3 linked regions of the Drosophila melanogaster genome follow. Changing the gene in region 2 together with the main gene of any one other region gives a genetic interaction. Each region holds a gene or a part of one and is shown on either strand. Other genes may lie near its edges. The genes, in order: tll, ken and cad.

Region 1 (9,806 bases), on a different chromosome or scaffold from region 2:
ATTCAATTCAACATCTTCGAGGGAACACACAAGATGTAGCAGTCGCGGTGGTCCAGCTTTTGATTGCAAGTCCTTGAACCGAGGCCTCTTGTTTCGGAAAAAACTGTCGCAGATCGTATAACACTTGTTAGTCTGTCAATATATTTTCGCCGCAGCAGAGTTTCCAGCAAACTGCATTCCTCGAACAAAGGACTCGTCGATCATCGAAATAATGCGGGCAATTGCTACTTTCTTGAGGTTAAACGCAAGTTGCTCTCAAGATTCTTCGAGGACATTGTTCGCCGGATCGGCGGCTCAGCGGATTTGCCCTTAATATTTTTCTCACCTCCAGGAGGTCCACTCGTCGCAAAACCACGACTATTGTCCCGTACTCAGATGGCAACAATCAAAAGGATGTGCACAGATTTTCGGGGTCTTAGACTCGGGCATCAAGTACTTAGGGGCATAAAAAAGGGGCAGATACAATGGCGGGACCAGTGCAAAAAGTACTTTGGATGAGGCCACGCTTCGATGATCCTGCAACGCGATGTCCTCGTCCTAATCGCTTTTTGGATAGCATTGATCAGAGCTGATGATCTAAGACAGCCTTGTTAGAAAGCAGCTGGTGTGCTTTAAGTGTTATGTCTAATGAGGTCTAAAAGTCGCACAATTCTGTGGATAAATCGCGACAAAAGGTTTTTTGTAAGGTACCTATGTAAAAAAAATATCTTTTATACTGAATATTGACTTAATGCAACTAAATTTAGAATTTAAAATCACCTTTTTTCCTCAGTGCATTGCCCCTCTAGTCCTATGACCGTTTTGTCTGGCAAATTATGCGACTAAGCGTCAAAGACAATGCCGCCACGGATGTGTATGCAAATACAAAGAATTTCGTAGAATTTTCCGCCTAAAATTTGCCATTTGCCCACTAAAGTAAGTTAAGCAGAACTTAAGCTACTAAGTAAGGCTCAGGGCAAGAAGCGAAACGAAAACCAAGACCAAAACCAGGCTTAGTTGGCAGCGCATAAGCCACAGAAACAATTATATACCCGCTTATCTGAGCGGCAGATATAGAAAATTGATCTGGCGATAAATCGAGCTACTCAATTTACAAGAACAACGCCGCTTTGACTTTTGCTTGCCGCAGGACGAGAGAGAGAGAAACGTCCTGACTTCAGGTACAAACAACTAGGACAATCGGAAGCCGGATTTGCAATATACGTATATACATAGACGATGTATGTATGGGTATGTTCTGGCCAGGCTCAAACGGATGTTTAATATTTTGGCTTAGAGACATTCTCATTACATTTGAAAACAAAGGAGCTGCGGTGCGCAGACCGCCCGTCCAGGATTTTGGTATTTAGCAAAAGGGTAATCCTGCCCATTAAAATCTATTTGCATACTCATATTTTTGTTTCGCTAGGTAATTGCGCCTGGATAAGGATCAGAGCCAGTAGGAGAGCCTCGAGGAGGGAGCGAGAGAGGTCCTGTGTGGGTTAAGCTTGCGAAACCCTTAACCTGTTAACCCACACCTGCCTTTGGGTACAAACTCGGGACATCCCGCTTACGCGAACTGCGCTAATCGGCCGACGCGTCGCCTTCATTGAGCCCTTTGCGGGGATTACTTAATCAACGAAAATCTATGAATTAAACGCGTTATACAAAATCCCGCAGATTCCGACATACTTGTTCCGAATTTCCCCAGAATTTTCGGACCGCCAGCCACTTGAGATTTCTCCCAGATGAGCCAGTTCCCACCCCCTTTCGGCAGGTAAAGCTCGCGGATTTAATGCAGTTCAAGTGAGGCACAAGTTAGTCTGAGTCCTAGTCCAAGCCGCCTTCAACCTTCAAATGGATTAAATTGAGTCTAGTCTAAGGGGAGAGAATCCGCAAACTGAGATTAATTTCTAAAGGACTCTGAGCTAAATCTACGCCTTAACTGAGGACTTCGTATAAATTGTTAAGAGTAACATATTTTTAAATAATATTTAACATTTTTGTAAATTTTAAAATGATCATTTTTCGCAGTTGATTTAGTTTTTCGTAGATCTCAATCCCATGAAGTAAGAGCCCCATGGTAGTATCACACCCGACGTTGAAGTCATCTTAAAGATGGTCTCCTTCTTTAAGGGACATTATAGAAATCAAAAAGTGAAAAAATGTGAAAATCCTTTTGCTCGCCGGCGAGAGTTCAAAACTACAAGAGAAAACTGCAAATTAAGACGCAAACAATGGCCAACCAACAATGTGCAGAAAAACGTCACTGATGACAGAATGATGAGGATTAGGCCAACACACACATCCATCGAAAGGACTCTCGGGTGCTGCTCTCGGTGTTTCTGCGTTGCTGTGTCCTGGTGCCTGAGTCTATTAAAAGTCTAAAGGCAGATAATAAAGGGCCATTAGGACTTAAAAGGGCTCAACAGCGCAGGGAAATAGAAATATCACAATTTGTTACCCCGGGTTCAACAGCATCCGAGTGAACCGCCTGAGCACCCAGGACACAGGGTCGTCCTTTGGCGAAAGTCGAAATGGCAGCACCAACGAAGCATGCTTAATTCCCAATCCCAATCCCCGCAGGATGTTCTGGGTGCCGTGGTTGGATTGGAATCAGGCTTGGGCTCCGGACTCTCAGTTAGGGTAGGTTTTTGCACATCCTCATCGCTACTGCCATGGATGTGTGTCAGTGGAATACACTCATCTCTGTTTATTTTGGCCAACGCAATTCGAACAATTTGGCAACTGTTTGTTCAGCCTTTGCCAGCGAAAACTCATTTACCTCCGGCTGCACGTTGCTTGGCCATTGTGAAAGGATTCAATTGTCCTTCCGGCAGAGCGATCCCCGATCCCCGAAACCCCGTTCCCGGTCCTGCCAGCAATGCGACGATCCAACGCCGCTCGACAAAGTCACAAAAGTGAATTTTTGCTTTTTAACTTTTCGAATTTCGGGGCGGGAGAGAAAGGATATCAAAACTGGGGCGGCCATTGCACTGCGTCCCTCAGGTTCCCAAATTAATGCCGACTTTGGTCTGTTCATGCAGAAAAACTATGCTAATTTTCCACGGTTTCTTCTGCGATCTAATATTTCTTTGTTCCAGTATTTGCATAATTCATTTGTGATTAACTGGGTTGCCCTGTGCGGTTGCTTTGTCGTCTCTAAGGATGCGAAAAGCCTCACGAAATGGCCATAAAAAGAATGATAATTCCGTGTGTAATCTCATGATTCCATGTTTGGCATAACACTTTCAGCTGCTTACAAAAGTTGCGCAAATAACTAGGACCTACTTCTTGTTTAGTTTAGATATATTTTTTCTAAGCATAGCTTTTGAAAACCAAAAGACCTTTCAAATAATGTGAATACTACGTTTTTTCATTTAATTAATGAAATATATTTTTTCAAGTTTAAAACTTCCGATAGTCCAAATCCAAGTTCTGAAACTGTCAGTTCCATTTCTTCCAAAATATTGCATCCACCCAAAAAGACCCATTAATGTTCATTTCGAAAACCTTTAGGTTTATTTTGAATAATTATTTTTCCAAATCCTAAAGCTAATAATATGCGCTTAAAACTAAAGTGTTTAAAACTACGATTGACGTATTTAACAGGCAAAGTTGAAACTTTTGCGAATGCAATTTGAAACACATCTGGATGGTCTGAGAGACTTTAGCTAAGATTACTTCGAGTTCTGTTTAGGTAAGGTATTAAGGTGAGTGTTGTGTACGTATTTTAAGGCTCGACTCCTGGATATGAGAAATCGTTGATTTCACTGATCGAGTATTGTCCAAAGCGCTTCTTCCGAGATTATCACAGTTCCCAGCACTTGGAAGGCACTTCGAGTGCGGCGATTAGTCTAGGCTCTACATACTTTTCAGATCTTGCGCTGACTGTACATGTCGGAGATGAGGCGCACAATGGTGATGTCGCCGATGGTCTTTCGGAAGAACAGCTCCTCGATGGTGAAGCTTGAGACCTTGTGCATCAGCTGCACCACGCCCAAGAGCGTCTGGAATCGCATGGGCTGCGAGGGATGGGTCCTCTGGATGTAGTTGTGCAGCGCACTCCGGGCATCGTTGTGCATGGCCGCCACTTTTCCCGACTCCAGAAGACCCCTGGATTCAGCAGAGGCCGAGGAGTTCGGGCTGCCGCTTCCTGTCAGGATTGAGCTGTTGGCTAAATCCTCGGTAGAACTTGCCGACGGTGGTGACTTACGGAAGAGCGAAATAGCCCTCAGACACTCGTACTCGGTGCTGTCAATGTTCAGATGGCACAGTTGGTTCAGCACCTCCTGGAAGGCGTGCACCTCGCGGGTCACCATGCCCATGATCTCCCGGTTGGCATTCTCGGACTCGTAGACGAACAGCAGCTGGGCGAAATTCATGGGCATTAGGTACTGGGCCATGGCCAGGATGAAGAACTCCTTCCAGGACTCCTCCAGCAGGAGCAGCTGATCCGGCATGGGCAGTTCGGTGAAGGCCCGTACGCTCTTGATCCAGTTGACGTTCTTGAATAGGTGTTCCGCCGCGGTTTCCTTGATGTGCTCAGCTGCCATCAGCGGAGGAGTGGGGGGCAGGGCCCGAGTGGCCAGGGCATTCATGTAGGCGGCGGTGGGCGAGAAGAAACCGTGGTGTCCTTGGTGCACCGGGTGATGGGGCACTCGTGGCACGGATAAGTCCAAGACAGCGGCAGCCGATGGTGGCGGCTGGAAGGCAGCCATGTGAGCAGGATGATGACCAGCCCTCTGGGGCAGGCCAGGCATGGGCATCGGTACTCCAGGAAAGCCGGTCAAGGCAGCCGTGTTCATCAGAATTTCGGCGGGTATTTGTGGCATCTCGCCGGCGCCCATCATGGCATCCTTGTACATGGCCATGTGGCGACGCAGAGTGGAGTTCCGCGGTCCCCGCTCGTGCTGCACTGCATCCTTGTTCATTCCGACCTCAAAGCACTTCCTCAGTCGGCAAGCCCTACATTGGTTCCTGTGCGTCTTGTCCACCACACAGAGTCCCTGCTTCTGCGACTTGCACACATACTGCCGGGATCTCCGAATGCTCCTCTTGAAGAATCCGGCGCAGCCATCACAGGCGTAGATGCCGTAATGCTTGCCGGAGCTGTGATCTCTGCAGACTTTGCAGGGCACATGGTATAGAATGCGACCTGGAAATTCAAGAAGGGGGGAAAGTTGGTATAAGTAAAGGATTGTCTTAATTTTATATATTAGGAAGATTGTTTTCTTCTTTTTTCATTGCTATCTGATTTTTTTTTTTGCTATACTTACTCGATGCCGCTGGCGAAAGACGCACGCTGTTGTATTTCTGATCCATCATGTCTGGTGAACCCTCCGACGACTGCATACCGATGTGGGGCGTAATTTTGGCGATTTTTGTAGAAACGCTTGCACAAATTGAATTTCACTTGGCACTGGTGTATCTTTGAGTCGTTTTGGATTTTTGTTTTAACGGTTTGGGTGGACGGCGGTATTGCGGATTGTGTGATATATTCGATATATCCTTGGTTACTCCGATGTGGACTCGCTGAGATCACGATGGGTTGTGTTGTCTGCTGTGAGGACCGCCGGCGTTTTAATAGTCCTGCAGACCAAATCCATTCATCGAGCAGTCGATCACCCTTAGGTAGACAAACTCCGCGTTCATTGGTCGAAACTCGGGAGAGGGTTGCTTCTAATGCCCTCTCTCGCATATCCTCTCTCACTCTCCCCTGGAGAATCCTTCGATCCTGCGGCAGGCTGCCATTGCGAAAAATTCATTGAGCAAGGAACGCAGCAGCCGTCGCTCATTCTCATTCTCAATTCTTTCGGTTTTTATGGCCCTTTTCCGCAGGATTCACTACCTGCTCTCTCACGCGAACTCCTCGTCCGTCTGCTACCCTCTCTCGCAGCAGAGAATCTCTGCCCGTCCTGCGACAGTTGTTAATGAAGAGATATCCTTCCATATCCATGGCCGAGTATTTTATGGCGCTGCCATTATTGCCGCTTTGTGATTTGTGTGAAGTACCTGTGGGTTCGCTTCTAGTCCTGCGAGGCGAGTCCTTTTCGAGTGGCGATAGTAGCAGCAGGGGTTGAATACCACGCACTATTGATTGTTTTCCATTCAGTAATTAGGTTTTTATGATGCAACCATATAAATGTTTAGGGAAATGATAAATCTAAAGACTTTGATAGATATCAGATTGTACAGATTTCTTGAGCTTATCAATTTTACACAAATCTGAGTATGAATTTTGTATCGTAATTTTTAAAAAATGTACTCAACATTTTTTAATTAAGAAAGTGCATTATAATGTTGAGCATCTAAACAAATTCTTCGATTCCCCCATAAAATTAAATTTTGGAATAACTTCTGCTAACCAAATACAACGTATTTCCTATATAAAATATATGCACTGATTAAAATAAAAAACAAATATTTGCATTTCTTAGCCAGCTTTGGCAACTTTTTAGGTTCAATCTAAAAATACTTTATGAAAATTATTGCGGAGCTCAGATTGCGTTTTTAATAATAATTTTTATAAATGCTTAATAAATAAAATTATTTTAAAGTAAACCCAAAACGGAGTTGTTAAAATCAAAGGTTCATGTTACTAAAATGGGAGCTAGCCATTTGAGATAGTAGCTCCCGCGGCTGAGCCAGATTAGGCGTTGCCTTTTGAGAGCCTTTAGGATTCAAGTGGACAGTGCCTCTAATCTCGCTTGGTCCTGCCAAGTCCCGAAGGACCCACCGATTCCTCGACTTAAGCTCGCCGCTTAAGCAGATTACGGATTTTAGATCGCGGGAGTGGTACTGCCTGGAAAAGGCACGCTGGTCGGGAGGCTGCTAGATCAAGCTTTTCTGTCTTCGGGATCAGCGAATTCAAAAGAAAGACATTGTGCGAGGTCCCAGCATCGGGCGAGTACTTAATAATGTTAAGCAAGATCCTGTAAGTCTGGTGCGATTACGCACCAACGCCTAAGGCCATGTGATCCTGATCCAGGACCTCGAACGTGGGAACAGCTCTCTGCTCGAACGGACTCGAATGCAGAAGGGCGGAGATGCAAATGCAATTCATTTGATATACGATAGACACTTGAAAAGAGCAATTATATTTCGATTCGTATTACGGATGCGTAACTTGATCAATAAAATGCTTGACATGATATCAACAACAGTCGCCAGGGGTTGCAATGTCCAGGGGTTCTAATTGGACTAGTCAACCCCTGGATGATGCTGAATCGGAGGGGGTGGTTAATTGGAACTCAGGTGTGCTGCATGGGAATTCGCTTGCGTGTGTTGCTATTCCGATCATTAGCTGGACTTCCATGGGGGGAGGATGCTCTACTAAACCAGATGACGATGACATATCAATTTTTGACATTCCCTTGACCGTTCATTGAGTTTGAAGTAATTATAATTGTGGGAACTCGTGAATATGCAGATGAGGAGGCTGCATCTGTTCGATCTTCCCACGTTGTATGAGTATGTTCACAACTAAGCGAAAATTTAGTCATTGCTTTTAACATAACAACTAATATGTGGTAATAGTCAATTCGCATAGTTCTTTAAACAGTTTCCAAGGGCCAATACATTTAAAATTACTATTTAATTAATTTGGAATTTTAGAGATAACATTTCTTGATTGTGGCAATAAAGCAATTTGTCATTCATCAAGTTGTAGTTACGGAATATATGACTTTAGGAAGTTTGAGTTTGGTAGTGATTTCCCCTTTCCTTTCATTGAGACCAACTATCAGCTCCCTTGCTTAATGAACTCGGAACGCCGTTCAGTCGCTAATCCGGGGGATTAGCGCTAAATCCACCACAAGAATTGAAACAGCAGTCACCGGCAGGTCGGAATATTTCAGTCTATCGCCTACCTAAGCCAGGTAACCACCCACCGCCATCAAAACGGCCATTCAAGGTCGCCGATGAATAAAAGTGAATAAAAAATTCCCAGAATTTTTGCGACTTTTTTACAAAGTTCCTTGAGGACGAAAAGCGAAAGGATCTAGGTAGCGATTATTCGTCTTAATTACGAGTTAGCACCTTTTTGTCTTCGAAGAATGCAGGTGCTACCGTTTGGGTTGGCTTCGATTTTTATGGCACTTTCGCTGCGTTTTTATGAATTGCTCGACGGCTCGGAGAAAAGGGTTAAGACGCCACACGGCTAATGGCAATTCGAGGTTCGAGCGAAATGAAAGGGTTAAATAGCTGGGAAATTCACTTCATTTGCATGCTGGAGGTGGAAAAATCCCGCTCTTCGCTTTTATGGCCCAAAAGTTGCCGCCGCCGCTCCGAATTCATTGAGCATTGAGTAAACTCTTCGAGGGAAGACCGACCCTATTTCCATGGTTATTTCCCGAGATATTCTACCGCTGACCCTGCGCTTTGGTCATTATGAATCGCGCCAGACTTTTGATGGGAAAGACCCGAAATGTCATTAGATGAGTGTTTTGCTTCAGTTTTATGGCACGTCGCTATCTGGTGTCGCAGAAAAATTTTTGCATTTCAGTGCACATGTCCTCACAAATGCGTAGGAATGTTCATGTAAAATATATAGAATGCTTAGGTTTAAAGACACAGAAATTGGACTTAATCTTTAAGAAGTCCCACACCCACTGTCAAACCCTTCAAGTCCTAAAGGCCGCCGTTAGTCTCGACACATTACTAATCTCTAAAGATTTGCAAATCCACGAATTAGATTTATTTCGGATCAGAATAAAAATTCAGAGCGAATAACTATTCAAATAAATCTACATTTTTGGCGGGCTTAACTCTTTCCCAAACTGTAACCAAACCCGATTGCGTAACCATCAATTATCCCTTTTGGCGCCAAGAAGACAAAGAATCAGAAGTCTTTTGGCGCTCATAATATGCAAATGCACCCAGAAACTGCGGAAACGAAAACCTTTAACGACAACTTCCGCCGGAGCGAGACAGCAAAGTTCACCAGTTCGTAAAAGCAAAAAGCCTGTCAAACCCAAACTGAAAAGTGCAAACAGACAGGGGAGTAAAGGAGATAGCTCCGAATATCCTTTCCCGAGAACGAGATCCACAGGAAGCGACTCGCAAATCACGTCAAACTGAAGTGCAAATGGAACCCCAAGAGGCTTGAAAGGCAGGAAGTGGACTATTAGACCCTAAAGAGGACAAACAGCCTAGGAAAAGCGCAATAATTACACGGCGGGCAAATTGAATCAGGGGAACGGGGACACAGATAAGCAATCTGATCTTGAGAAATCAGGCGAACAATCCCAAACATGAAATTAAAGTGCTCGAATATCCTCGGAAAAATTGCGCAAGTCGGGAGGACACGCCGGCAGAAAGTTGAGCAACTTTTGTCGGGATTTGACAGCCAGAATCGGGTCCTCGGAGTGCCGAGGTTCCCAGACCTGCACGTGCAAAATCAAATCCTCCAGATAGGTTTCATATTCGTGGCTGCCACGGAAACGCGGCCAGAACAATGGGACACACCTCCAAGATTTGGGCCACTACTACGACCCGATATCCGATGCGAGATTCGGAGTCTTCTCCGGCAAGTTCTCCGATTTCAGACTGTTGAATGCCCCCGAGATTATTTATGCAACAGGAGAGCCAAAGGAAACAAGTGATGAAGTCGCTGCTTCCATTTCCAATTCAGTTTTGATTGTTATGTCCTGCACAAAGAGAAAATTTATACAAATGTTTGCTACTGATCTATTCAATTACGAAGATATTAGATATTTAATAGAAGGTCATGTAAAGTTATAACATCTTACAACTATATTTCAAATTGTGCCTTTTAGTATTTTTTTGCATTTCAAGCGAGTTCTTTTAATTTTTCTTGGTGTATT
Region 2 (13,334 bases):
AATTGGCGATCGAAGTGATATAGGTGATATGGGTGATAGCTGCGGCCATTGCGTTGGGGGAATTGGCACTCACCGCCTTGCTGAATCATTGAAAACGAATATAGACTGTATCAAAACATTGCAGTATTTATTACTGCGATGGGGTAATGCGAGCAACTTGTTGGAGTTGCAGCCTGCAGACACTGTGGCACTTAGACGTAGTCAACAATAGCACATAGATAGATAGTTATTGCTAAAACACACGGATAAATGTAAAAGTTTATGTTAATTGTTCGTAAATTTCGTAAATTAATGGCCGACCAGTGTGGCCAGCGTCGCGCAAAATATCGTGCACCAGCGAGGAATCCAGCGCTATCGATAACATTCGGCCCGCGCGCTTTGGGCACCTCCGGTCACTCTAACCGGTTAAACTTTTCAACTTCAGTCTATTTTGATAGTTTTAAATTGTTGTAATAGCCATTAATTACTTTTCTAACACAAGACCATGATTGCGCGCACCCTGCGAACGGTGGGCCGGCAAGGTCGCAACCTTCTGCTACCGCGCATCACCGCCTGTCGCCCACTTCACGCTATTCCGGCCAACTTCAGCAAGGCCTACGACCACGACGGGAAGACCAAAGTCACCATCTTCAACACCGAAACGGATCTGGGCCTTATGGTCACCGGCTACAGCCAGTACGGCTTCCGGCTCAACAACGACATGGTCCTCATTGGCCCCATCTCCGTGTTTCCCAGGTAGGTGGCCTTCGACGGATGCATTGGCTCACCCAATTATGTAAACAAGTGCATGTGATTTATGCCATGGCACTCTGATGATCATACAATCCCAATCCCAAGCTTAGTTATGCACGCCTTTGAGTTTATTAAACAGAAGTCAAGGATTTATTGGGAAAAGTCAAAGAGAATGACTTCTTCATTTAAAGTTTCATACAAAAAAATGTTGATGTAAAAACTACCAATAGTTGTTAAAGGCTTTTTGAATGCTAATTTAAATTTTAATTATTTCAATAACTTCTTACCTTATAGCCTCTATTTGTTTAAGTTATAAGCTTTCGATGGCTTTTAATAGTGATATTGTTTATAAGTATTAATATGTCATAAGTTACTATCTGAAGCTAAAGTTTAATTTTATGTTTTACTACTTACAGATCGGTTCTGTCCTGGAACGTCAACAGCTTTGAGGACATCAACGAGGACAGCCTCAGTCTCTTCCCCACCCTGGAGCCAAAGATCGACGTGCTTATCATTGGCATTGGCGACCAAGCACCGCCCCCAGCTCTTTCCAAGAGGATCATCGAGTTCATGAAGAAGTACAAGATAAACGTAGAGATCCTGCGCACGGAGCAGGTAGGTATTAATCACTCCCCGATCTATATCCATATTGAATGGCACTCTTTGCAGGCATGTGCCACCTTCAACTTCCTGAATGCCGAGAACCGAATGGTGGCCTGCGCCCTGATACCCCCGCTGCACCTGTCCTACAACGAGAACGACATTCTGCAAGCGAAGCTGCGGAAGAAGGAGCTCTACGAGACCGAATAGGATTAGTTAGACACATCTAATGATTGTTTGAAAGGCTGGTGCTCTGTTAGAAATTAAACTGTTTTGTAAAATTCAGATTTCTTTATTCGTATAGACGTAGTTGTAAGGTGTATAAAAGCTAGCAATCTCGCAGTTAAACTGCACTCTCCTCCTTGTCGATTAATTGGCGATTTCAGTCGGCTGTGGCGCCCGGATAGCGCTCAATGAGCATAGCCACGCCCTGTCCACCGGCCGCGCAGGCGGCGACCACGCCCAACTTGCCATCCTCGCGCACCAGGCGGTTGGCGGTGTGCATGCAGAGGCGGACTCCTGTGGCGGCGAAGGGGTGGCCGATGGACAGAGAACCGCCCCAGTTGTTCCACTTGGACAGGTCGGGAGTGCCGACCTTCTCGTTCAGGCCCAAGTAAGTCTTGCAGAACCAGTCGGAGTCCAGGGCCTTCAGATTGGCCACGATCTGTCCGGCGAACGCCTCGTGGATCTCCCACGAGTCAATGTCCTTCAGCGTGAGTCCAGCCTTCTTGAGCAGCTTGGGAATTCCGTAGGCGGGTCCCAGCAGCAGCTGGTTGACGGGATCCTGCGACACGAACAGGAAGTCGCGCAGATAGGCCTTGGGCTTGAGGCCCAGCTGCTTGGCCTTCTCCTCGGTCATGATAATGCAAGCAGAAGCTCCGTCCGTGAGGAAGGAGGCGTTGGCTGCTGTCACAGTGCCGTAGGGCTTCACAAAGGCGGGCCTCAGCTTTGCCAGGCTCTCGGGACTAGACACGCGGATGCCGTTGTCCTTGTCCACGATCTGGTCCACGCCGGACACCTTGAAGGGAACCAGATCGGTGAAGTAGCCCTTCTCCTGGGCCTCCTTGGCCAGTGTGTGGGATCGCAGGGCGTACTCGTCCTGCTCGCTCCGGGATACGTTGAAGGCGGATGCCAAGCGATCGGCCGAGTGTCCCATGGTCTCGCCGGAGGAGAACTCCGCAACGGCGGGCAGCTCGGGGGCCAGGAAGTCTGGCCTGAAGGTGGACAGCAGGGCCAGCCGCTGGCCCAGGGTCTTTGCCTTGTTGGCTTTCAGGAGCAGGGAGCGCATCTTGCGGGAGTGGCGAATGGGCACATCGGACATGAACTCCACGCCGCCGGCAACGATGACATCGTAGGTGTTGGTGGCTATCAGACCCATGCCCGTGGTGATGGCCTGTAATACATGGGCTATAGATTCAAGCTCCGAGGAACTTTGGGCGAGGCTCTTACCGCATTGGAACTGATGCAGGCCATGGTGACGGTGTGGGCAGGTGTCTTGTTGCTGAATCCAGCTGCCAAGGCTGCCTCCCTGGCAATGTTGGAGGTCTTCACCTCCTGGATGACGCTGCCGTACACGATGTAGTCGATGAGCTCCTTGTCCAGGCGGTTCTTTTGCAGCAATGACCTGTTGAATGGGGCGGGGTAAGCTAATACTCCAAGGATATTGGGGATTGTAAACCTACAAAAGCGAGTGCCTGGCCAGTTCATGGGGCATCAGCTTGGAGTAGGTGGTTCCGGAGGTCAGAAAGGGTGTGCGGACTCCATCCACGAGCACGATATTCTGGCTGTTCTTCTGCTTCGGTTGTGGATTCGCCACAGCGGCCGATAGAGCGCGGCATTGAACTGAAAAAGGGTTCCGGATTCGGGATTATCCTTAGCACTCTCGTTTCGCGTTATTTTTAATCATGATGTACCCATACATTATCTTTGTCCCGCAAGACGTCACTGCGAATTCGAGTTTGGACTTTGGCCCTTTCAGATTCAATCGGCTGCTGCTGCCACAAATCGTTATGAATTATCAGAGCCAAAGTCCAACTGGTGCAGCCCGTGTTTGGAATGGGGCATACTGCAACACCCGCACTATTAACTCACCTTTCCTGGCGACATTCAACAGGTTGAAGGCGTTACCCTTGCGGCAGACATTTTGAAGGCTCATCTTGCGAAAGTTTTCTGATTTCTTTTCTCGCTTTTCTCGTTGTTGCGACTGCAGCTGTTTGGCTAGTGATGAACATGAACGCCGGATCGCGGCGAACTATCGGTTATCGAAAGCTGATGCATGAAAAGCTTTCGAACTGTAAATACCCTTTCTGAGGATCTTACTCGTAGATCATAAAGCATGACAGCTTGTAAAATTCGGTAGATCTTCATTTCCAACTTTAGATATATTTCTTGGTTATATTTGAATATACAGTTCTAAATTTTTTAGCTTCTGAGAATCGTTTACTATTCCTACACCATTCACCTTCATTCAAATGTATGCAACGCAATCTGGGAGTCCCATAAAGGAATAGATTTCTCCAATGACCTTGATCTTGATTATCCTATTAAGCGTGCTGTTTACGATGTCCATCTGCGCTCTCATTCGTCACCTACAGTCTGTATACCCTTTCCCACAATGGAAGACCATTAACCATGTCCTTGAACCGCAATGCAAGTGATAACTGTAGCAGGCAACTAGCTGTATGCAAATGGGCGAAAGAAAGGATTACTTCCAAAGGCCACTCTTGCAGTACTGTATAATCTTACATATTAGATGTACATCCAAATTTCTAAATTTAAACTTTAAATAGATTATGAATAAAATGCAGGTCGTTTTGGAACCATTGTTAGTTTCTCAATGATTTGCATACAAATTCGTTTCACTGATTGCTTTTATTGCTAACGGCACAAATTAGGTTCAAGGACGAATTTAATGGTTTCCTATAATGGGATAGCAAAGGGTAGGATGCAAATGTAGGCGGCGTGTGCATTTCAAATGAGCGATCGTAAAGGACTTACAAAGGAAGCAAATAATGGAAGGATGACGGCTTATTGGGGATCAAGGTGAAATTTCTTTAGCATGCCAGTAAAATTAATGTCTACGTTTGTACAGATGCAAATTGAGCATTGAGATTTTCTACCCTTTTTATTTATATATTTTTTATTTAAGTTTAAACAAGTTTTTTATTTCAGTTGTAGAACATAATCGAAAGCTCACATTTTGTCGGGAAATGTCCAAAGCTCCGCCTCCGCGAGAGACAGTTACAGTGGGTGAACAAAGTATATTAACAGGTGAAATGATCTCCGTGATCGCTGGATCACTGTAAGGAACCGTTATTGTTGTTGTTGCTGGTCGGTGGGCTGTGGAGGTGACGCCACCAGTAGGAAGTCATCAGAACCAGGACCAGGACACGTCAGTGGCAATGGAGCTTCACTCAAATATTGCTTTCGTTCGGCGATGGGCTGGATGGGGATGGTGGTGTTGGTACTGTGGGCGCGGATTTTAAAATGTTCTCCGCTAACTTCTTGATCATCAGCGCCATTTGTCTACGCGACGTTGGGTCTGAATCGTCAAAATCGCGAGCCTCTATAAGGTCAGCCCAAAAGCGTAAGCTTGTTACAGTTAAGTTCTTCATGTTGGACGTGAATCTTAATCTTGTGAAATAACGAAAGATACGCCAAATGGAAATCTAAAAAGCCAATACAGATCTTATTGCTGTTTTTATCGATAATATAAATGGTATTTTTATTGATTGTGTCTTTTTACATTTTAGCTAATATTAAACTAAATCATGATTGGAACATAAATAATAAATTACAAGGTAGCTTAGGAGACTTAGAGAATGCTTTTCTGTTATCGATATCGGTATCGATACATCGACCGAGCAGCGCGCCGCAGCGATCGTAATTTCTTTCCCGATCCCGCACAGTCAAAAAAAAAGGCTCCGAGTGAACGGACGTGCGCGCGCGCAAACTGAAAGTGTAAGCACAAACAGAGCGAAGCAAAGCAAGGCAAAAGCAAAAGCAGAAGCTGAAATCGAAAATCGAGAGAGAGGCAAGAGATCGGATTCTCCGTACCGCTCCCACTCGCAGTCGCGCTCGCGCCAGAAAAAGTTTTACCAATCAAGTTTTTTATTTCGCAATAAAACAAAAAGAAAAAACAAAACTTCAACCTAGTTAAAGTTAATGTTGACGTTGTAGTTGTAGTTGTGCCGTTGTAGTGAACTTTAGTGAGTGTGTGTGTGCTTGTGCGAGCGTTACCAGTGTGTTGGTGGATATTTCTTGCGTTGCGTCGCATAAAAAGCAGAAGAGGCAGCAGGAAAAGCCAAAGAGAAATTTTAAAATCTGCTCCTGTGAAAATATAAACAAACCATGGTCAATGAAATCGAAAGTTTCCACTAAGCAAGCAGCCAGCAGTAAATGGCCGATCGCAGGGATTAGGCGATCAGAACAGAAAGTGCGCAAGTGAATAGCAGTGACTATATTCATCCTGGGATTAACCAACTGCTGAACATCCAACTTAATGAAAGAGGTAAGTCTGCCGTTCGGCAGCAAGCTTTTCCCCGAGATTTTCATCATCTTTGGGCATTGCAACATCGCTGAGATAGATAAAAGTCGGGGTTGGGGTTTTGGGTCTGCGATACGTGTGTGTGGCTTGTGGCTCTTTGTGCACCTAAGCACACAAAGCAGCCAAGGTCAGAAACTAACTTAATAGTGGTAGAGAAAACAGAAAACAGAAAAGCAGAAAACTGAAAACATTCCAAGCTCGGTTTGGATCGCATCGCATCGTATCGTATGGTATCGTATCCAAAACTTTGCCTCGAAGCTTCGGTTCGTGGCGATCCAATCTTCGTCGTCATGAACATCATTAGCACTGCAACAACAACTGAACCCAGAGGAACAACAACAACTGGAGACAAGAAAGGCTTAGTGACCTTCATCGCGTGCTTTTGTCTGCGTAATACCGTCCGTGTATTGGTGCGCTCGTATGCATGTCATGGAATTTGAAGACACATATCTGCGTACATATGTACGTACATTGGCGCACGCACTCGACCAACTTAACTGCTTTCCAATAAGAGTGAAGGTGAAAAAGCACAGACACTCAATCACACACACACATGCATGCGGTTACACGATCGCGCAGATGTTACAAAATATGCTGTTAGCAAAGCCACGGGCGTGGGTTTCTCAGCGTGAGGGGGATTTTAGTTTAACGGGTCGTGGGAGGGGGTGGGGGAACTTGGAAAGGCTATTGTGAGGAGATCTTTGATTTCCCCGTTCTGTTCGCCTTATCTGGCAAATACATATTTTAAAACGTAGATCCGTTGACGGCGTCTACGAAACTAGCGCATTGCAAACCCCTCACGGGCCCCTTTCCTATCTTTCTCCGTATCGCCCAGCTTATGGAGTTATGCAATTCAAATTTGGGTCACTTTTACGAGTGTAGCATTTACAACAAGTACGAAAGAAGACAACGACGGCGACGGCGACTCTTTGCCATTTTCCCTCGCTTCTTTTCGGATCAGCAAGTCAAAGAGCTTTCGTGAAAGGGGAATGGGGAAAGGGGCAGTGGCAGCGCGGGAGAGAGCGGGAAAGGAAGAGAATGCGATGCGATGGAGCGACAGAGACAGAGAGGGCAGGAAAACGAGTTTGAACGCGCGCTCCGCTCCCTTTAACATTTTACCTTTGCGCGAGCTTATAATACTTTCAAAACCCCGCGTAGCTTTCTCTTTTGAGGCCTTCGATCGGATAAGATCCGTGCGATTCCAGTTCCATTTCGATTTCCAGTTCCCCCTTCCCTCTTCACCCCCCGCTCCCGCTTCCGTTCCCTTGCCATTCTCTTCCACTTGGAAATAGACACATGTGCTTTACATTCGTAAACACTCACGCAATCTGCACACTCACACACCAACAAACCCATACACCGACACCACAATGCGCAGGGGAAAGAGTAATTGTAAAACTACATTTACATTACATGGGAACGATGACGACGACAAAAATCGGAAAGTGTGGAAATATACAAACGATTGCGTTCTCCGTCTGTATGTCGCTATGTGTGTTTCGTTGTTTAGCTTATACCCCGATCGTTGGACATACAGACACACATACACAGCATAGAGAGGAGAAAAGCTTTTTGTGAAAGGTGATTTTATGCGCGCATTGTGAGTTAGCGCGTTTTGTTTTCGTATCGCCCTCCCCTCGACCCTCCTCCATGTCCGCCTTGTCCCTTTCATTCTCATTTCCAGTTTGCAAAAGTGTGCGTGCGAATGTGTGAGTCTCGCGAAGAGAGCGGAGAAATGTTGGGAAATACACAAACACATACATACGTACGGATCCCTAGCGTCTTCCATTTAAGGAATTATTACCATGAACTTTCACCTTTTGATTGCCTTAAATGCTGTAACGATCTTTAGTCATGCTCTGCTCGTAAGCAAATTCAGATTCGATTGCGAAATCCGCCGAGAAACTTGTAGAAAGTGAATGGCCCTGATTCGTGGAAGCATTAAGTATACAAGCACACACACTCATAGATACATGCATATATACATATGTATGTTCCGTCAATACCGCTTTGGAATTTATCTAGCGTTAGAATGAGCACACCAGATCCCCCCTTTCCTGCCCCTGCTCTCCCCCGCCCTCTCTTCAGTGGCAGTGCAAAAAGCGAAAAATAAAAGATCCATGCTCAGCTTTCGCTTGCCATTCCCAAGCCAAATACAACATTCCCATTTCCATTCTCTTGCTCTCCGCCAAGCCAGTCATTCAAGTTTTATTGAAAGTGAACGTTTCGTTCGTCTCCATGCTAAAGGAGTGGTGGAGCCAGGGGGCTGGAGCGGGGATTGGTGGGGAGAAGCAGCAGAGCGTAACAAAAAGCAAGACTATCTTTCCGAAGTTTTTCGTTTTTTCCGTTTTCGAGATCTGCTGCTGCTGCTGAACTTTAGCTTCGCTTTTTGGTTTATTACTTTTCGTGGTGCCATGCAGACACTCACTCACACTCGCGCAGCCGAAAAGAGCTTACAAGCCATGCTCTTGCACAATACAATAATGGTGGCCCCCCAGCAAACGCACACACTTACAAAAGCCCCGCTGCACTACACTTCCACGCAAACGCGACAGACCTTACACAGATACAGTCAACTACACAGAAAGAAAGGGCAGCTCGATGTTACACATTTTACATTATTTTCAAACGACTTCTATTATTTGCATCTTTTTTTTTGGCTAGAAAGTAGTTTACTTAACAGCTCTTCAACCTTACAAAAGCTGAATTTGATGTATTAAGCCTACCATTTTCATCCACATGTAAATGATCCATCCAAATTTGAATGGCACATTCACCTGCATGTTATTATTATACATAATAGCATGGCATGATGCCACATTTTTCTGCCTGTGCACAACGACACAATTGCACAGGCCAGCGAATTTCAGTGTAACAATTTCATCGCATAAAAGAAACAGCAACAACAACAACAGCACATCACAGCGGGAAAGCTTTTTTGGAGGCAACACCATTACCACAAACAACAACACGGTGGAGCTCTATGAAGTGAAGCTTTCATCTTTTCCAACAAAGCACACACACACACACACACATGTATGACGATTGTGGGTTGCAGTATTACAAAAACACCAAGTACAGAAAAACCTAAAAACCTGATTAGTAAACATTTACTATTGCTTTATGGGAAGTTTGTTAATGCCAGCACACACACACACTCACGATCACATGCTGAAATTCCAGTAATGTGTCGCACTAAACCGTTATGGAAAGCACTTTCCAATCTCTTTACACGATCCTTTTTCTAACAACGCGCACTGTGCGCCTGTGTGCGTGCATGACACAATCGCTGGAAAGTGGTAGAGAGAGGGGGCACAGAGGGAGAAAGAGAGGGCGACACAGGCGGTGAAAGGCGGATTGTGTAATACCAAAGCAAAAAGATGCAGACTTCCCATTCCACAACTTTCTATTTCACTGGCCCCACTTTTACCACATGCTCCACATACATTCGTTAATAACTTCATAAAGTAGTCTTGCAGTTTAACTTCTATAGCTCGAACTTCCGTAAGTCGGTCGTTAAGCAGCGGCTCATAACTCATTGATCGCCAATTATCTTTTGAAATTACTTAACTTTGGGAACTGTAACTTCACACTTTCTAAACGACACTAATGGTTCTAGTTTTTGTGAAAAATAGCTAAAGGCTCATTGCTCGAAATCTCCTCAATGAGTTGATTAAGTTCGTACTATCAAGCTCTTCGCAAGAGAACAATCGAACCATAAACAATTTCAGAATTCCTGTACCAAACAGCTACTGATAACGTTTTCATAATATTACTTGTCCTAGGTCAAGATTGCGTGTTGGGAAATGGAATATTACGTATACGTACAAATTAGTACTTTATTTCGGCGATTGCGCCTCAGAATTTGAGCAAGTTTTTCCAAGTAATACAATTGAGTAGAGCTAGAGAATTTGTTCTGCAGTTCATGGCAATTTGACACCCATGATCTGGGCCAAAGAAATAGCAGAAATCTAACGATACCCGACATACTTGCTCTTCCACTTGCAGTTTCAAAGAATGTTGATGTTGCAATACAGCAAGCATGGCGAGTGCATACTCAAAGAAATCGGAGCAGCCTTCAGAGGGGAGCACCCGGCGGACCTGACCATCGTCTGCGAGAACAAAGTAAAGCTGCACGCCCACAAGTTGGTCCTGGCGGCCGCCAGTCCGTTGATAAGGTAATCTACATAAAACACATACTCTGCACTGAAATAATGCGTCGTTTGTACCGTAGGAACCTGCTGGAGGACACCCACTTGAGCGACTGCTCCACCACCGTATACTTTCCGGACGTGAATGCCACCTACTTTAAGTTCCTGCTGGACTTCCTGTACTCGGGGCAGACGTGCATTACCTCACGGGATGTGAACTATCTGCACGACCTGCTGCTGCTGCTGCAGATCAAGTCGGACAGCTGGAAGACCACCGACTCCGCCTATCTGAGCAGCAAGTGCGGCGGCCTGCGGGATCGGGCCGACAGGCGGAAGCAGCAGTACACCAGCCCACAGAATTTGGAGCCGGATCAGACGCTCAAGTACGAGGTGGACAGCGTGGATGAGTCGCGCAACGCCGCGGATTTCTCGTCCGCCTTCAACTCCAACGACAATTGCGAGAGTGCGGCCGAGTGCGAGCGGAGTGGTGGCCACAACAACAAGGAGGAGGACGAGGACGACTGCACCCACAAGGACAACAAGAGCGACAAGGACACGGACGAAATTGTAAATCTCTCGAATGCACCGCCCAGCGGCACCAGCGGCAGTAACAGCAACATCAGCACCAGCAGCAACCACCAGCAGCAACAGCACCACCACCATCACCACCACAACCACAACAACAACAATAATAATAACAACAACAACAGCAGCAGCTCAACCATAAATCCCGTCAACCTTTCACTCGACCTTCGGACGAAAAGCGAGAACTCGGCGAGCAGAACCCTGGGATCCGGATCAGACCACAGCGGCATCGACCTGGCAGTGACAGCGAGCGAAAGCACGAAACGGAAGGGCCTGTTCTTCGACTCGCACAAGGATGTGATGAAGCCGCTGTCCGATGGGTCGGACATCAACAGCTCGCCGGAGAACTACGTGGTAACGCCGCATCGGAAGCGGCGACCCGGATTCCACAACACGCAGAGCGACAACCAGCCGTTCACTTCGTACCCACACAGCCTACTGGAGGAACTGCGCTTGGCCAAGTCGACGACGTCGCCCATTTCGGGCTTTGGATCGGAGAAGAACATGCTGGCGCACCTGGAGGACGGAGCACTCAATGGGGACACACTGACGCCGGACAGGAAGCATCTGCTGGAGGCGCAGCGCAATCGAGCCCAGAGTCCCGAGATACCGATGCACTTGGGCCCCCAGTTCGTGTACCAGTGGCAGTCCAACCAGAACGCAGCCATGTCCGCAATGCCCAATCTCCAGTCGCGACTCTCTAGTCTGTCGCACATCAGCCTAAACCTGGATCATCCGGAGGGACGCAGTGGGTCGGCCTCCGGTTCGGGTGCGAACTTGGCCGGCAGCAACACGCACGCCTCCTCGGTCCGGGAGTATCGATGCGAGTACTGTGGCAAACAGTTCGGCATGTCCTGGAACCTCAAGACCCATCTGCGCGTTCACACCGGCGAAAAGCCGTTCGCCTGCCGCCTTTGCGTGGCCATGTTCAAGCAGAAGGCCCACCTGCTGAAGCATCTGTGCTCGGTTCACCGGAACGTCATCACCACCACCAACGGGGCGGATACGGAGAACCGGTACAGCTGCTGCTTCTGCTCCATGTGCTTCGAGTCGGTACAGGAGCTCGTCCGTCACCTGTCCGGCCACCACAATAACCTGCTGCTGACAAAGAATCTGCGCGAATAGTGTCCCGGGCATCGGCAACCGCATAATCCGAGAGTATCCCATCTGTCCGATCCGATCCAAGTCGATCCGAGGTGATTCGCCGGACGGACAATTGCAAAGAGACCTGAATTTTAAATAGTAGCAGTAGCAGATTTAATTGCCTATTGTATAAATATGTAAAATCTAAATTTAAATCCTAAGTTTACGCAACGCAACACATTCACGCGACTCCGCTCGTTCATATTTCACGCAACGGCCTGGAGCTCCACATCTGAATCCGCATGATCCTCGATCCACGATCCCCGATCGGAGGCCACTCACGTTGATTTCTCATTTAAGTTGTATTCGACATCCAATCCCTATTCCAATTCCCCGCAAATGCACCACTACCTACTTACACCCCCCTTGCTCTAGAAGCCCAATCCAATACTTTTTAAGCGGCTGGTCCATTCAGTGGAGCACTTATTTGTAAGCATATGTCTATACGAGAGGTATTTTAATTGCTATTGTATTTCCAACTCGTCTAGCATGAACTTCATGGCCCAAACTTGTACCTATATCTACATTTTTGATAGTTTTGATACACTTTTTGTGTTAAGATTTTACGTATTCCCTCCTAAAATCGCCAATTAAAGTGTGTAAATTGTACAGTATAATTCGCAAGCTCGTAATAAAATCAGAAAAGCATTTCCGTTTGTTTATACTCTTTCGATCATTTTTAGAAATATATTTTACTTTAAACCGACGCTGTGTTGTGTGCTATTTTAAGAGGAAGAGTGGGTGGTGTATTTTCCATTACAGGTTCTTCATTTCTATTCTTTCAGGTCAAAATAAAAACATTCTATTTTAGTAATATTGTCGCAATTTGTAAAGCTTTATTCAAATTTTGGCGCCCTAGAAAGCCGTTATAAACTTGGTATTTTATGGGTATTTTCCAAGTGGATTAGTATATTATAAGCGTGAGTTGGCAGCCCAGATGCCAACAAGTATATTTCATTTGTTGTGTGTGCTATATAAAATATATATAGTGACGTATTTGGGTGGTCCAAACCAGCCACTTCCATTATTTCAAAGAAATCAGTAATGCACTCTAGTAATTTTCCATAACGTATCCCAGCTGCGCAGCATTCGTTTATCTTTGGCAGCGCAGCCGTTCTTGTAAACATCCTAAAGCCTGACCTAAGCAGATTTGACTGCCCTCTTTCAACGCTACCTAATCTTAAGAACCCAAGAGCGAGGCTCTCCCGAAATACAAATATTGTTCAAATACTGAGGCTTCTCCTCAATCCAATTTGCATTTGATTTTTAGTCTTAAGCTGAGATCCAAAGAATAAAGTCGTGAAACTATTTCTCCTAAAAACTATTTTTTATTTCTTGGCGTTGTCCTTAGTCAACTGACGGGACATTAGTTCGACTCATAAATAAAACAACAATTTTACTATATTAATTATAACATTCTATTTGATATATTTTTAAAAATAATTAAAAGTTCACTTTATCAATTAAGCACCCCATACGATATAAATCAGTCATTGAAGCTTACCAAGCATACGTACGTACAGAGATAATTTGCGAAATACCCGAACTTAGCAGCAAATGGAGCACTGTTTAAACTC
Region 3 (10,548 bases), on a different chromosome or scaffold from region 2:
CGGCGAGGAATACAGCAAGAAATGATGAAAAGGAAGGGGGGTAGTATTTTTTTTTCTTAGGCCACTAAAAATTATTTTCAAATGTACGTTAATTATTTGCCACGACGATGCAAGCGCAATAAAGTTTATGGCTATATGATTTGGGGAATATGAGTAGGATGAGGCGGAGGGGGGTCTTTACGACCTTCCCCACTCAGTCGCAAATCAAAAAAATTGCATGCATCAAAACGAAAAACACAAAAATCGCATTAGAGGCAACAAAGGAAAGTTAACTATAGTTTTTTTTAGTAATAAATGGAAAATATCCAGACTGTGGATGCGACTCCTACCGCTTGCGTCCAGCAAATCACTCAGATCCTCTAAGTTGGGCGAGCTGCTCAGGTCTGCGATTCGACGGGAATTATACATGGGATTAGATTCTGTGTTCATCAATGAGAGTATACAAGTTATTTAAAACATTTCTTACTTAGCGATAAGTTCTTGAGTTAAGAAATGGAGCCACTTTCGCAGCTTCAGCCCCAACCAAATAAAATCATATAACCGCTTTAAATCAGTATCAACCCATTGATCACTACAGCCACAATAAATACTTAAAAGCCCACTGAAGCCCACATTATTGAAAGTAAATTTGCGCTTCATAAAACTATTAGACAAAATAATGTGCAATAAATTCTTACGGCTGCGCCGAGGAAGCACTATAAATTTCCCCAGCCATTCCCCACCGATTCTCCGCCCCCCCCCCCCCCCCCCCCGCCCCCTAACCGTTATCTCAGTGTTTTTTGGCCCAGGCAGGGGGTTCGGGTCAGTGTGCAACAATATTTGCCTGAACTCCGAGGTGAAACTGAGCAAATGCGGCAGGCGCAAACAGAATCGGAAGGGAATATATGTAAGTACATATGTGGCACAGTTGGCGAGCACCATATACCACCGAGATACCTACAGTCCAAACAAGAAGGGCAATAGTAATCCGCGGGCTCATCAAGCGTATAATCATCCTAATCAAAGTCGGGCATAAAAATCACAAATATGGCAATCATATATATTCGCGCGCACTGGTTCATTCATGGTTGTGGGTCATTTATACGATGGCGGGGCATTTCATTTAGTTTTTATAATTATTGCTACTTTATTGTATTGTTAAGCGATTAACGTTGGCCACCGGCCATATACATACAAATCTTTCTTTCCGTTTTTGCTACCGTATCGTAAATGTTGTCACCTCATAAAAGGAATCGCCAAACGACTCGAAATTGAATCAGAATTCGCTGCCGCCTCCCACTCCACAATCATCAAGCCTTAAACTTCAATCAGTCAGCTACTCAATCATACAATCGCGGGTTGCCTTTGGCCTGAGACACTAGCAGGTGTCATCCGTCCGTCCGAGCCATCATCATTGCAACGTTTTGTGTTGTCATAATTCAGGCGGACCTCGTTGATTGACAATCGGATTTCCCTGTCACTTGGCCAAGTTGCCCCCCAAACAAAAGGCTTTCGCCTCGTTTTCCCGATACGAACTATGTACATATGTACATCGCAGTATTCCCATTATGGAATTATGGTTTATGGCGAACAGGAAACGTGGCTATAATTTACAGTTTCTGGACTCTCTCTTTGCTGTTTACTTTCATTGATAAAATAACTTGAGGCAAAGATTTCCAAATGGATTGTACAGTAGTTTAAATTAGTTTCCATGGTCTTTACATTCTACATTGTTTTATAATTCATCAAAATAAAATGCGCCAATTTCCATTAATAAATAACACATCGTCCGACACATTTCGCACCCATTTTGAACAGCTACCATTTTAATTTATCACTCCGTTGAGTAAGCTGTCCGTAACCCCAATTTAAGCCCCCGGAATCCCTAGCGCCTCCAATATAAACTCGATACGCCTCGAATGGTATATCAAAAACATGTACACGAAAGTGGAGACCTATGCGTATATGGACATATATACGGCTGTGTGCGCAGGGCTTTGGGACAAGACTCGAATTTCTGGTTATTACCAATATCAGGGCCAATACAAATAGAGCAGGAAAACCCAAACACGATTCTATTCTATTATTTGGACAACTAAGCCCAGAGCAAACGACACATTGGTAACAAGTCCGTGACAAACGGACAGGGAGATGGGACGGCCTGGCCAGCGAGTTCCAATGCTAATCCCATCATGTCAATCACCGATCCAAACGCACACTCCACGTAGATCAGTCGCAGCCAAAAATCGACTTCATTTTTGACCCGTGCAGGAGCGGAGGAGGAAACTTTGGACGGGTGAACGGGAAGGGTAAATGTCATCGGCAAACAGCGATAGTGCTGATAAGGAAACCGAACCAAACATATTTCCACTGCAGCTAGTGGCCATTTTCGATGGCTTATCTTGGGACCGGGAACGGTACTGGTACTCGGAGCGGGACCCAGACCAAAATCGGACCACAAAGGTATCCCATCCGCGCCGGTGGAGCAGTACAACACTTTTCAGATGCGTCGGGAAAGCAATATAAATCCAAGCCCGCCATATATTCCTTCTCTCTCTCTCTCTCTCTCTCTTTTTCGATTATTTATGTGGCTAGATATAAATTTTCTGTGCATATTGACACATTAAATCTCAATGTGTCAGGTGGCATTAGTTTTTATGTCCCAACACGGGCAATGCTGAAAATCTACAGACAATCCCAGTAAGAACTCCTTGGGCCCCTAGATACATTTGGTTCTCCGGAGAAATTATAACGACAATAAATTACGGACAGCTAATAAGCAAAAATGTATTGCTAAGTGCGTTCAATGCAATGAGATGTTGGCCAATCGAAGGATCAAAGAATGAGGAGCCTTATTTGGGCAACATTGGATAACTGATACAATTGGTTGGATACTTTAGCCAACTTTGGCAAACCAGAATTGTTGGAACTATCCTTTTCTGAACTATGGACACTTAAATTTCTTGCCGTTTAATAATGATTGCATAGATTTGATCGTAAATGTCGCTATTTAGTTTTTATTGGAAGTAATACTAATTTTTATTGGTTTACGACCCTATATTGTTTTAATCAATATGCCCGTCGCAAACGCAGCGGAATCGCTTATCAACAACGCTTTTGACGTTTTAGATAACACGCAAAGAACTCTTTTTTTTTTTTTTTTTGTGGCCACGTTTCCATATCACTCGGCACATTATTGAAGCAACAGAAAATAGAACTCGCAGCCCCATGGGTTGGGTGGGGTTTTCAGGACTTATTGACAGGGCGGGCGTTTATTTGATTCCCCACGCTAGCTAATCTAATCGAAAAACCCGCCCGAACCACCAGCCATTGAAACAAAAGTACACGGCATCTGCATCCAGCGACAATCGTGGTTGCCGTTTTATTGCCACACCCCGAAAGCTGAAGTGGGCCTTCGACGTGCCCTGCCGCCACATGCCGCCACATGCCGCGCAGACAACGGAAAATGGACCTTTTATAATTCTATCAAAAATCACGAAGTGTTAGTCACAGCCCCCCTCTTCTCTTCTGTTGGAAAAGGCAGATTACTAATTATTACTCGATTTGGCGAGACCATCAATTCAAAGAAAATGCCAGAGAGATAATACCTGAGCAAAGTGTTGGCAAAAGGTGCTGCTGATCGCTCATAGTGGCTGTAAATAATATCTAACTTTATTTTTATATAATATTTATTCTTACTTAAATATTTGTGCTTTTTAGGCAAATGAAATACGGCAAGAATTACAATCAGTCGCGCGTCAGAAAGGTGACATTCAGACAGCGGAGGCTAAAGGGGGTTTTGAATAATAATAAATAAGGCAAACTTGAGTCGCCTTGTCGGCTTGATCAGCTGGATTAGCGGCCATAAACGCTAATTGCATGCCAACAGATTTTATGGGCTTAATGGATATCGGCGTTATTGTCGATATCGTCGATATCGTCGTCTTCATTTTCCCCTTCTTGACATGCGCCCGGGTCATAAATCGTGAACAAATGTGTGAGTGGTTTATTCCTTCTCATGTTTGAGATCGCTGCACTGCCATCTGAATTGCCTTTGCTTGTTTTTCCAGAGGTGTAGGAAAACACAGCAAACAAAACGCAAGAAATCCACATAATCACAGAAAATTTGCATGAACTGAGAGAAGAGAGTCGAATTGGGTATTATTCACTTATTATTCAGAATATTCACTATTTTTAGAAAATAGTGAAACCTTCAATTAGACACTCCACATAATGCTAATTGCTGTGAAATAGGTTCCGAACTCCCTAACTTTCCTAAGCCTTTACAGTCCAGTCCTCTACTCTGATGGACTTTCCATCAAATGCTGTCTGGTTATTGGTAAGTTGATCAAACCATTTTCAAATGCTTATAGTTGTTAAGTTGATTTACGATACAAAATTAGTCAATGGAATCGGAATCGAGACGGAGACAGAGTGGAGCAAACAAACAGAAACACTCATGTGGACGGTGAACACGGGGTGGCCATAAATCAAGGCGTCGGATCGGGGATCTCGCGACCCCAACTGAATATCATAAAAGTGAAGCTTGAACAGAATTTGATTTTTATGAGCTAATTGGCCATTTGGACTTGGATGCGCGCCAGGCAAACGGATTCTTATAAAAGCCCATATATGTACCGTGAGAGATGGACAGGGAAAAGCGCGAACAGCACGAGCTTGGCGGGAAGACAATGCAGTGCATTATGTGCTGGGCAATATGGAATCTTCGGGTTCGGAATGTAGCCAGGCGGATGCGGGAGAAACCCAAGCGCAGGGTACGCGGAATCGAAGGTCAGTGGAATGACTAAGTAGCTGAATACACAAAAATTCGGGTAATCGAGGTCTTTCGGACTAAAAGCCTTCGGTGAGTAAGATCTTATTTCACATTCGATTAAAAAAAAAAAACTCATACAAGCTAGTGACAATGGCAAGCATAGACCTTAACTTTGCAGTAAAAGCAGGTTATTAGCCTTACTCATAAAGTTATGAAGTAACCGATCATACCCCCTCATAAAACACTAAATCTGTATTTAATATATTCTTGGGTCTCTAAGGACTCACCTGGTTGTGGTTGTGCTGGATAGGCGGGCTTCTTCATCCAGTCGAAGTATGGCGGCTTCGATGGCGATGTCCTGTTGTTGTTGCTCACCGAATTGTTATTGTTGTTGTTGTTATGGGTGGATGGGCTATTGTTGTTGTTGTTGTTGTTGTTGTTGTTGTTGGCGACGGCACTCAAATGGTGTGCCAAGTGATGATGCGGCGACGAGGCAGAAGTCGGCGCCCCCGGGCTAGAGATTTCCGAGCCCGAAACGGTAATCGGTGGCGACGGCAGACCTTCGGCGATGTGCTGCTGATGGTTGGGTGGTGCGGAACCTGGTCCTCCATCGGTGGCCCCGCCAACACCACCGCCACCGCCTGCTCCTCCGACGCCGATGCTGCTGTTGGTCTCGTTGAGCTGGGGCGCACCCGGTGCACCACCGCTACTGCTGCTCCCGGAACTGGCGGAACTGCTGGAGGCATGGGCGTGATGATGGTGGTGCTGCTGCATCAGCTGGTGGGCCGACGTGGGCACATTCTGAACGAAGTTATCCGCCGTGCTCGAGGCGGGTGAGTGCCACTCCCCGGCAGAGGCCGCCGCCGCCGAGTGGAACATGTGATGGGAGTTGTAGTACATCTGGTGGGCAGCGGCCGCGTGGTGGGCGGCATGCGAGGAGTCCACATCGCCCAGGAACTGGTGGTTCGGCGGCGTGTGGTGGTAGTTGGGCGTCCAGTTCCATGGCTGGCCCGCCGCTGAGGCATAGGCCAAATTGGCGGCACTGTGCTTTTGTGTGTAGGGCAGTGTGTTGTAGTAGTGCGAAACCATTTTGAGGTTAGATTAGGTGCGCTTTCTCCGAAGATAGTCCCAGTGCTCGGTCCGGTGTCCAATAATCCGGCGTTAATCTCTAAGTCTTATCACTTTGATGGCCAATATGTTTTAGTTGCACATTTTCTGGAGTTTCAGTTTGGGTTATAATGGATATATTTTGCTTTGTCAATCTTTACAGTTATCACTGGCTGGTGATGTGTTTTTTGGGAGCACAGTAACATACGACCGAGATATCGATAATATTTCGAAACGCTATTTTTCAGCACTCACTCACGAGATGGATTTTTGTTTTGCAGGGCTAATCTACTAATTTGAAATGTTATTCCGTGCGTGGCGACGTCAACTCAGTATGCAGGTCGAACACGTACTGAAACGTAGAGCAAGACTCGACTGATAAAAAACTCAAAGCAGTGGAAAATCAGATAAACAGGCAGAGAGGCTCAAAAAAAACAACCACCGCAGTCGGCACTCACTAGTTGTCTCTTTCTAGCGCACGAGCAGTGCCTTTACTTGGGCGTTTTTAACCCTCATTTCCGTTGCTCGGTCGAAATTCAAGATGGCCTGAGTGCTTGACTACCGCTATCTCCGTCTGTCTGGTGCTCCGTCTCTTTCGCACCGGTCTGCGATGGCTGGCAGGCAGGTGGCCACGCCCCATTGAGCCAGGTATGCAGTTTGTCGTAATATCTTGGCCAAGAAAACCCCTTTTCCTTTATGGCCCGCTTTCGATTTGTATGTACTTTAATTGCAATTGCCGTTGGCTAATTAAGTAATTGCGGAGATGCGTGTGTATTATGCAATTAGTGGCTGTAAAATTATGTTGCCACGGTCGTAATAGTCGCGATATATGTACCTCTATCTGGGGAATAATCAATGTTTTATCCTCCGGATTTTATTCTCCATATCCATATACCGTGTTTGATCTGCACACACTTGATGTCCAGACTTTTGGTGTTTGCCAAGCAATCGCTGTTTATATGGGCGCCTCGATATTGTCAAAGCACTATTGTTCGGTTCTAGTTGTAAAGCTAATGCCATAATTGACATGTAAGCAGCGATAAAAATTCGCAGGGAACTCAAATATAGCGGAAGAAGTCTGGCATTGATAAGGTGCAAGATGTGATACAAGGGGCTTATGTAAAAAAAAAAGATGGTACTAAAAATGAGGTGATCTTTTGACGGATCTATCATTTAATGTAAATCGAAAGTTTCCAGCTTCATTACCAAAAATATGACTAATCAATTTAAATTCCCATGAGAACTTATTTTCGATCAAACTTCGCTGGAAGTTTAACAAATGGGTGGAATTGAAATATCGATTATTATTTCATAACGACTTTAGCAAAAGTGTTACCCATTTCGTGAAGCAAAAGGCAAAATTGGCCCAATACGGTAAAGAATTAATAATATCAATAAACCCATTTACAAAACCTCCTCACTAACATAAAAACTAATAATTGAACGCAATTTGAATAATAATAAATAAATTGATTTATTTATAATTTATGACAGACACGCGTGTGATCATAAGATTGCAAACGCGCCTAATTATTATAATATATTGGCAATATAACAAATTCCAAATATTCATATTGTGGCATTAATTATAAAACTATACATGTAATATACCCTAAGATTAGAATGTGAAATCATTGTCCAATTATTTTCAAACTATCTGACTATAATTTTTCCTTACACAAAGGAATATAATATATTCATTGGAATAAGGTATAGTTGGTTAAACATATTCCTGCCTCACAAATTCCAGGTCAGCTAACACCATTCTTATTAATTTTTCGCAAGAATTTCGATACCACACAGCTACTCCCAATTGTAATCCCTAAAAAGAACGCTAAGCTCGCGCCGATTGAGTAATCCCGAGATTCCAGAAATCCTCTCTAAATCTGTAAAAAATAAATTCATTGATTGCCGCGATGTTCGATGCTCGGTATGGGATCGTAAAACTGCAAACTGCAAATGTCGCGTCAAATAATTAGAAGTGAATGCAGCTGACACAATGGAGGATAACCGACATATCCCCGAAAAGGACTCGGCGGAACACGGGAACAGAAGCACACCGGGCAGTTGGCCTCGCGAGGGAGGTACTCAATACTCACTTATTAACGCTGAACTACCAAAAACTGGTTCGGGTTCGTTTGCAAACAAAAAACCCCTTAATGTCCGTAAGACAAAACATGTTGTAAAACAATCGAAGGCCCGCGCACAAAAGGTGATTTTATGATTACGCGAACGCGATCGCTTTCGCCATAACCATCGCCATTGCGACCCAAAGACCAGAATACAGAAACCAGGATGCGATCGTAGAGGTCGCACGGGAACGAGGACACCAAACAAGGCCTGTAAGGTGGTGCTGATGCGTTGACCTGCCCATCGATCGGCCCATAAAATTCACACAACAATTAGGCAGCCACAGCCCAGATTTGTTTTTTCCTCTTTTTCGCAAACCGTCAACAATTCGGTGGAATTTACTGCGTGGGCTGGGCCTGGAAGGGTACGACCCGTGGGCTCTATAAGGCTGGGCTCCTCGTCTCATCCCAGGCACGGGCAAGTCATGTAACACGCCGTTACCTGGAAGTCATTAGGGGCGCACAAAAAGGCTAATCCCTAAGTGATCTATGTAAACATATGGTAACTCCCCCTGGGCGGCAAATTCGAGATGAATCATGAATTTTGGTCGTACAAACGCAAGATTTGATAGAAGATTGTAATATTTTTTCATCAAATAGAAAGTGTTGATCAATTACAAACATAATACATAATATTATAATATACAAACGTTCCCCGACGATTAGTTGAATCGAAAGCAGAGAATCCATTTCGAATTGCCCTTCCGGCAATGAAAGATTTATTTCAATCTGTAAAACACTCTAATGCATCTCTATCTGGCCATCGTAAATTAGAATCTGTCCCCGCCATTGACATTAACAACCTGCTACGAATTCAATGGTATTTATACATATTCCCTCAATTATGTTAATAAATCCATAAAGAAAGCAAAGCAAGCGCCATAGCCCATAAAGCAGACTCCGAAATAAAACTCAAGGGGCAATCAGACCATTACAGATATGTCCAAGTTCCAGTCCCGATCTAACAACCTATATCTGTGGCTTGGTGGAGCGTCGACGCCAGACGGATTTGAGTGTGGATGGATGGATATGTATGGATGGTAGACGTATCATTGTCGTGCGGCATTCGCTGTTTGTCGGTTCGTTTAACGTTTTTGAGAGTTTTACGGCCGTTTGCCGGGCCAAACCCCTCCAGAAACCCCTTCCGCCCACCCGCAACCCCCAGCCGATCCCGCAGCAAGTGCATTTTGCGTTGTACGAGCCGAGCAACCGCCTCCTTCGCCGTCGCAATCAAGCACCTTTATGGGTGCCGCGACATTGGCGATAAAATATCTTTGTTAATAAAACAAATTAGAGTGGAGAAGAACAACAAAAGGCGGCAAGTCACACATGGGTGGAAAGCCCAAATTGCTTTCGGATTCGCAGCCAAGCCTTCTTGTGGAATATTCCAGGATTATTGCCAATCAATTGGTTGAGAAGCAGTTGATTTGGTAGTTTTATTTTCAATATACCGTCATTGTCGAAAAATAGACATTTATTAACAATGTTATGTATAGCGCGGATTAAAATAGGATTTTAAGGTAAACAAGTTCAAAAAAGTTTCGCTTAAAAACAAATTAAATACAAAAGGAATTTTGCTTTGATATAAATCTCGCCTCTGCTCTACTGAGTGCCTCGAAAACGAAGTGCACAGCAAAATGATTGGAACATGCCACAGTAAAATAGGAATACAGTATGTAAAGACCACAAGATACAGATAAATCTTAAAGTTGCTTTCAGTTTCATTTTTAAGTATTTAGACTTACAACGACATAATTTCAGAAGTAAAAGCGTATCAAAAATATCTATATATTTAGTTTTTTCGTATAGGTAGCGAAGTTGGAGTTTTCATCGATATGCATTGCTAATTTCTTGACATGAATTTAGTTTCAACTAGAAGTTTTTTTATAGTATATTCGACTTGTAAAATTGGTACTTTAATATTGGGACAGTCATAGCAGTAAAATAAAATGTACAGCTGAAATTAAAAGGCCTGCCAATCATTTTAATTAAATAAAAGTGATCTTGTATGTGTTATTTGCATATTATAAATTCTAAACAAAATGTTATTTATTAAACAATCAATTAAATAAATACTCCAATCAATTCAAACGGAAAACTCAATCCTATAAACCAAGGACTCCGTTACAGCAATTAATAATTTCGGAAAATCCACCTGTGACTCTAGTTCCAGTTAATTAGTACTTTGCGGCTCTTGATACAGTCCTTCCTGCTGGGCATCCAATTCGTCAAATCTCTTGGACACGCCAATTGAGTTGATATGCAAGCAAGGCGACGCACACGGACTCACGGCTAATGAGCCCAGGCCCTTATATCGCTACAGATATCTATTTATATATGTACAGAGGGGAATTGCTCGTTCCATTACTTCTACGCGGAGCCTAGAACCTCGTTGAGGATCATTTCGCGGGTCATTAGTTGTCCGTTGGTGACACGCGTCCGCGATCGACTCCGGCTGAGCTGTGCCCTCCGCTCCGCTCCCGCCGGTCGTTGTCGCCGGGCCTGTCGATTTCGTTGGCCAAAGGCTGAGCCCGTTTGCAGCGCCTCCAACAGACTGTC

The links.
Region 1: of ken (region 2) and tll, changing one enhances a phenotype caused by changing the other (phenotypic enhancement), as found in Drosophila melanogaster (one study listed by BioGRID).
Region 3: of ken (region 2) and cad, changing one enhances a phenotype caused by changing the other (phenotypic enhancement), as found in Drosophila melanogaster (one study listed by BioGRID).

The regions. Positions count from the first base shown.
Region 1 is NT_033777.3:30,848,075-30,857,880, reverse strand, and holds tll (tailless), read right to left. Parts: upstream 5,567-9,806; 5' UTR 5,335-5,566; coding exon 5,259-5,334; intron 5,138-5,258; coding exon 3,855-5,137; 3' UTR 3,481-3,854; downstream 1-3,480.
Region 2 is NT_033778.4:23,865,039-23,878,372, forward strand, and holds ken (ken and barbie), read left to right. Parts: upstream 1-5,234; 5' UTR 5,235-5,833; coding exon 5,834-5,842; intron 5,843-9,886; coding exon 9,887-10,056; intron 10,057-10,112; coding exon 10,113-11,739; 3' UTR 11,740-12,404; downstream 12,405-13,334. Other genes in the region: CG5569 (uncharacterized protein), read left to right, coding at 485-735, 1,149-1,347, 1,402-1,542; Mtpbeta (mitochondrial trifunctional protein beta subunit), read right to left, coding at 1,715-2,725, 2,782-2,956, 3,015-3,174, 3,424-3,487. UniProt on the Drosophila melanogaster protein: Transcription factor required for terminalia development. Negative regulator of the JAK/STAT pathway: represses JAK/STAT-dependent expression of ventral veins lacking (vvl) in the posterior spiracles.
Region 3 is NT_033779.5:20,766,402-20,776,949, reverse strand, and holds the start of cad (caudal), read right to left. Parts: upstream 6,220-10,548; 5' UTR 5,843-6,219; coding exon 5,041-5,842; intron 384-5,040; coding exon 330-383; intron 1-329. Other genes in the region: dia (diaphanous), read right to left, coding at 10,360-10,548. UniProt on the Drosophila melanogaster protein: Caudal (cad) is one of a number of transcription factors controlling segmentation of the embryo.